2 linked regions of the Kluyveromyces lactis genome follow. The protein of the gene in region 2 interacts with the protein of the main gene of each other region in a biochemical or structural test. Links are inferred from orthologs where the notes say so. Each region holds a gene or a part of one and is shown on either strand. Other genes may lie near its edges. The genes, in order: STE50 and OPY2.

The links.
Region 1: the proteins of OPY2 (region 2) and STE50 form a complex in vitro, tested with the Saccharomyces cerevisiae proteins (3 studies listed by BioGRID, with this or other methods). The link is inferred for Kluyveromyces lactis from reciprocal best matches to the Saccharomyces cerevisiae genes OPY2 and STE50.

The regions. Positions count from the first base shown.
Region 1 is NC_006039.1:104,255-107,352, reverse strand, and holds STE50 (Ste50p), read right to left. Parts: upstream 1,542-3,098; coding exon 654-1,541; downstream 1-653. Other genes in the region: RRP7 (Rrp7p), read left to right, coding at 1-448; EMI1 (Emi1p), read right to left, coding at 1,936-2,196; MXR2 (peptide-methionine (R)-S-oxide reductase), read left to right, coding at 2,399-2,998.
Region 2 is NC_006038.1:796,177-799,512, reverse strand, and holds OPY2 (Opy2p), read right to left. Parts: upstream 1,746-3,336; coding exon 504-1,745; downstream 1-503. Other genes in the region: KLLA0_B09108g (uncharacterized protein), read left to right, coding at 3,182-3,336.

The sequences.
Region 1 (3,098 bases), on a different chromosome or scaffold from region 2:
TAGCAAGAAGCAACAACAGATACTGTGGGAATTTCAATCCCCATCAATCGAGACATTCACAGCATTCTACCGTCCATTACCGTTAAAATATTTGAAAACGGATATACATGAACATATGGCTCTTTTCGAACAAAGAGAACAGCAAGCTCAAGAAGAAGTACAATCATCTATTGTTGATGAAGATGGTTTCACATTAGTAGTAGGAAAGAATACAAAATCATTAAACAGCATAAGGAAAAAGATATTCAACAGAAATCCATTATTAAAGCATGAGAAACCTAAGAAGATGCCTAATATGGTTGACAAGAAGGCAAAGAAGGACTTCTATAGATTCCAAGTCCGTGAAAGAAAGAAGCAGGAAATTAATGAGTTGCTAGCCAAATTCAAGCAAGATCAAGAAAAGATAAAGGAGATGAAGTCCAAAAGAAGGTTCAACCCGTACACATAATTATTTGAGAAAACTTTCCTGATAAGGTGCTCTATTTGTTATTTACTATAGTTGAGAATGTGTCTTTGTACAACATACGTAACTCTTATAGAAAGAGATAATTAATCTATCAATACAATTATTCGTTCATGAAAGCTCTAAAATGAAAGTTTATGGTTGCTTGCCAAGTGTTTTTTCCAGTTGATGAAGGAGGAGATAACAAACATTATAGCCTACCTCCCGGTGTTGCTGCCATTTCTCCCACTTCCTCAAAGTCACCTTTTTGTCTTAACATAATTGCAGGATGCAGGCCTTGTTGTTTTAAAGACTTGAAGATCTGTACTGGTTTTTCATCGAGATCAAGAACTCGTTCTTGATCTCCATAGCATATCACTAAAACATGCTGTCTCCAATCCGTTTCATTCAAATTGTGCCTCTTCATCGCATTTCTTAAAACCTTTTCACATGAATCCTCCTTTGAGGCACGTAATTGTTTCATAGGTTCTGAACTTGGAGCTGATGATACTCCAGCTCCGCCTGGAGTATTCGCCGATCCGGGTGTGGTGGCAATATGTGACGATGAAACATTTCTGGTGCTTGAAGATTGTGGTGGCAGCCCTGGATTGGAATTCGATCTGTATTTGGGTGATGATGGCGTGTGTGAAGAATGGTGTGGAGCTCTATCGAAGTAATCTTGCGAAGAAGGTTGATGTTGAAGTTGTTGAGAAGACTGAGAGGAACCTGAACCAGATCCACTGTTCCTCTTCACGATTTCCAACAAATCCAATCTGAGTTGCGCATAATTAGATTGGAATTCTTGTAACTTTTCATTTAACGTCTGGTGTAAGCCTTTCATAGTCAACACTAATTCTTGTTCCGGTGCTTGTTCTTCCGTGTCAACAAATTTGTTTATGCATGTCTTAAGCCTCACGGCACTAATGCTATCAGGACATAACTCCTTGCAATCGGCAAGTGTGATTTCAGATAACGTAGATCCAGTTATCTTGTTCTCTCGTATTCTATCTAGGATGAATGTATCTCCGTCCGTTAATCCAAGTTCTGCTTTGACTTTCTTGCAAACCTCCTCAGTTGACCATTCATTTGTACCGCTCATTATTTGTTTTTGTTTCTATGCCTGTTCTTAAGAGATGTAAAAACACAATTGAATCACTGGTTAGCCACTGATCAATATGCTTCTGTTGGCTCAATGATATGCTCCACAGACTGAGCTGTTCCCCGGATCTCCTTTCATCAACTTTCTGGTATCACTTGGTTTTATTCAAATAATCGATTAAGTTTAAATATAGATTTTCCCATATTGTCGGAAATCATAAAGAAATGACAAGGAACCCTGCGAATATTCTGACATAAGATTCCTGGGGAACGGGGTAATCCTGTTACTACATTCGCGCTAGAAGTATTTCGATGCAATCGTAACTTTGATTCATTTATTTACAGGACATACGTGTGGAAAATATACAACTATCTATCATTCCAACGGCCATGGTTTATACTCTTTCTTTCCAAATGTCATCGGAGGTACCTTTCCTTTCTTGGTTCTTCTGCCACTGCTCTTTGTGCCATTCCTGTACCTTCACGGGATCTTTACTATGGATCACACAAAACTTAAATTTCTCGAATTCTTTCAGACATTCGTTCATGTGGCCATGTCTGTAGTAATTTCTAAACTGACCTCCTAAACTGAAACATCCTGTTAACTGATCAAATGCATCAGTGCAAGACATTGTTGTTGGATAATTAGATGACATAGTGTTGAATATCGTTTACAGTCTATGATATTTTCTATTTGGTAAGTAGCTGTGGTAATGGTCAAAACTGGGCGGACTGGTTTGCTGCTTCCGTAATCAACCTCCTTCTTTCGTTTTGTAGATTGCTCTTTATTGACAAAGATGTTTAAGCTGTAAATTATAGAATTTTGGATTTTTTCAACTAGCTTTCTGCAAGAAGCCGATGAGCCATGCTATCGTAAAGAGAAAACAACTGGAAACTCGCATTTGTAATCACCATCGGATCTATTGTTCAGCTTTCATTATTTTGTTGATAGGTATAATTCTTAAAGTTTTACCACTCCATAATTGTTTCACACTTTTGATGCTCTCAAGAAGTTGTTCAAGGATTTTATCTTTAAACTTATCAAAGCAATTTTACAGAACAATGAATAGCACCGGTAAATGGAATCCGAGTTTGACTTCAGAACAGCTAAGAGTACTACGTGATAAGGGTACGGAGAGACCAAACACAGGAAATTACTTGCACAACAAACAAACAGGGATTTACTCATGTGCAAATTGCGATTTGCCTATTTATAAGAGTGAGACGAAGTTCGACTCAGGCTGCGGATGGCCTGCGTTTTATGATGCTATACCGGGATCTTTAACTTTTACTCGCGATGAATCGTTTGGGATGGTTCGTATAGAAATATGCTGCAGTAGATGCGGTGGTCATATGGGGCATGTGTTCGAAGGGGAGGGATGGCAGAAAATCTTGAATTTGCCAACTGACCAAAGACATTGTGTCAACAGTTGCAGTTTGAACTTCAAGGAAGGTTAGTGCTCACCAGATTAGGCAAATAGTTGTAGGTTTGCAATTATTTAGCTCACTTAGTTATATTAGGTGTACAATATTACACAATTAAAACAGATGGCTCTAC
Region 2 (3,336 bases):
ATAAGCTGATGTGATGTTTGGGTGAGCAATTGTGATTTAAGAGTTAATCGAAGATCGGACGGGAAGCATATAGGTAGGGTAGCCTAGGGTAGCCCAGGGTAGCATAGCTTAGATATATAAAAACACTGTGGATAGGTAGTATTTTCGAAGTTGGACCGATAATTCTTGGTTCGTTGGCAAATATCGTTTGGAAATCATGTTGGCAGTGAAAATTGCGTATTAAGAGACGTTCTTTTAAGTAGTCAGATTGTGACATGATCGAGTGACATATACATGCAGGGTTCAGTAGATCCTACATTCTATTTGGAAACTTATAGAGCATCGTTGATTTATGGTATATTGCGGGGCTTGTTGGGGGAAAAGGCTCGCATATATACCGAAGGACGCAGGTGCTCCTGACAAGAATTAGCCCGATATAACAGGTCTTATTACATACTGTATCTAAAATTGTACAACTGGTGTGTTACCAAAGATTAGTGGGGAAGGGAAAGTGGTAGTCATGTTTAATGGTGATTACTTGCCATTTCCACGTCCAAGATGAATGATCCCTCGCTGTTTGAGTCAGATGATGAATGCACGGTGGTATGGAACGGATCACGTGAGTCCGAATTGGAGGAGTCCATACTATTTCTATAGTGTCGTATATCTCCTTGTTGCCCTTGTCCTTGTTCTTCTTCCTGTTGCTGTTGAGATTCATTGCCGTGTCCTGCATGACCAATTGAGTTGTCTTGAACATTCGTCTCTCTGAAATGTGATGGATTATCGGTATTGCCCGTTTCGTTAGCCTCTGTTTCGATGTCTTCTTCAGCTTCTTGATCTACTCCATGATTCGCATTTTCATCTTCATCTTCCTCAGCAGTTTCATCGATTTGAACCAATTTCGGTCTAGCTCGGATTGCAGTAGTCATATTATTCGTGGCACCCGCACCATTATTATTATTCCCTGCAAATGAACCGCTTTCTTCCTCGTTCAAATCTTGTAAGTTCTGTTGGAGCTCGTCGTCGTCATCTTCATCACCGCCAAGAATACTGGACCCCAATGTAATATGTGACTTTCGATCTGAATCCTGGTAAAATCTTCTTGAACCTCTTCCTTGGCCTTTCCTCAAATTCTTCTTCGTTAGATTCGTGGTGACACCTGGGATATATGCTACAGGGATGATATTTGATGCGGTACTGGTCTGAACGGTGGCAGCGCTACTTCTATTTCTCTTGTTCCTTTCTCTGACGCGTGATGACGAAGAGCCAACACGAAGCATGCCTGGATGAAGCGGTGATGATCCGTTTGGATCAAGACTCGTACCTTTTTCCATATATTCGGGATCCTGGGGCAATGCAGACCGTTTTCTTTTATAATATCTGTAATACAAGAAGCCCAACACCACGACTATGACTACGAATGCGACACCACCGACGACACCACCAACAATAGGTCCGACCTTATTGCTGGAAGAGGACGACGAAGAAGACGCTCCGCTAGAAATAGCAGCCGCAGACGATGATGATGATGCACTACTACTGCTTGAAGATGCCTTCTTCTGACAATAGGTTCTTGGGCATTGTGTGCACGTTAATGATGTTGTGACACAGTACTCATCATCATCACATTCCGGGCACGTTACATTGTTATCACAAGTGACACAACCATCTTGCAACGAAGTTCCGGAGCTTGCAGTACTAGTGCTAGAACTTGAAGCTGTGCTTGACACACTGCTGCTTACAGTACTGGATACGCTTTCCGACATTTTTCAAGCCGGTACTAGATCGCCAAAACTATATTTCAGTATCACTTCTATGGTGAATAGCTCTGCTGCTGAAAGAACGCGATGAGCAGAATGAATATAAAGTCAACAGACAATATTAAACCGGGAATGGCCCTGTTTATCTTGACAATAGAGAAAGAGCTAGCGGTAAGGGTGGATGGTGGAAAGACCTTGTGGTTCCTTGTCAGATACAACAGATTTTGGAAGTAGTTCAGTATGATATCTGTATGGAATCTTTGATTTTTCGCTGTCTATGGAAGAACCAAAAAAAAAAACCGAAAATACAAAACTCGAAGAGAAGACTGAAAGTGAACCAAAAGTTTTTAACTGATTGACTAATGGATTTATTGAAACTGCTCTTTATTCTATATTGTAATGTATGCCTGTAATTGGGCCAACTCCAGAATTTATAAAACGACTGATTTTTTTTTTTTGGAATAGAATACACAGGCCTCTGAGGCAAGAAACAACCCCATTCAGATTCTTTTTAAACTATTATATTTTTGGATCGCGTCAGCGTTTCAACGTGCGGAATTCTAAATTCTTTGAACGTTGTTTTACATTGCCCAAGAAAAATACTTCACCGCTTCCGTAGTACGTGAAATTCCTCATTTGTAAAGGCCTCTCACTTACCCAATACCACCTTCATTGCAATTAGCACATACCGTTCACTGGAAAATCCAGCTAGCTATCATATTCATTGCACGTTCTGGCTGAATACATGGCTCTTGGTACTTCCCGTTCTAAGCTAGCCAGTCGTCTTTCCTTTTCCTTTTCCTTTTGGCGATTTTCCAAAAGAAAAGAGTGAGCGGATCAGATCCTGAATGTTTTCAAATTCTCGAGCTTGGATTCCTGAATTCTGTGTCACGTGTGTATAAACTTTTCAGTTTTGTTTGAAAGTAACTCGGTGCAACCGGGTAATACGTTATGCAACTCAGATTATCTGTCACTTGTGCCTCCCCTCCCCTTCAACTTAAAAGGTTACAAGCGTACACAGAGTTAACACAGAAATAGTCAACGGGTTCACGATACAGTCCCAATACATATCTGTACCTGATCGCGGCTGCGGGACATTAAAGTACTTTCTGTCATTCTAATTTAAACGAAGAAATCAATTGATATCTTGAGCTAATTCATGTTTTTGTGATACTATATAAGTATAAAGGGTATCATCTTCCTGGATTCAATCTTGAACCGTAGATTAATAACTTATAAGAGACTAAATCCCGCTAGTTAGATGTTTTATGTGCCGTATTCGCTTGCATTCTTTAATATGAGCCATTCTGTTCCACGTTAAGCACAGAAAAATAAAAAATTCCAAAGTTTAACTGAAAGATGAATCAGTTGATCTTAAGCAAGTAAAAACGTCGGACGGCTCAACCAATCAACCGAGCAAATACCTCAAGGACAAATAAACTATGAAAATTGATAGTACACCATTGAAAGAAGGTCAATTACCATTCGATAAAGAAGTGGTTAGAAAAGCCGCTTTGGACTTGACCGAATCTGTAGAATCCTGGAAGAAGGGGAAGCTATACAAGTATACGCTAGATCCAGAAAATTGTACCAATGA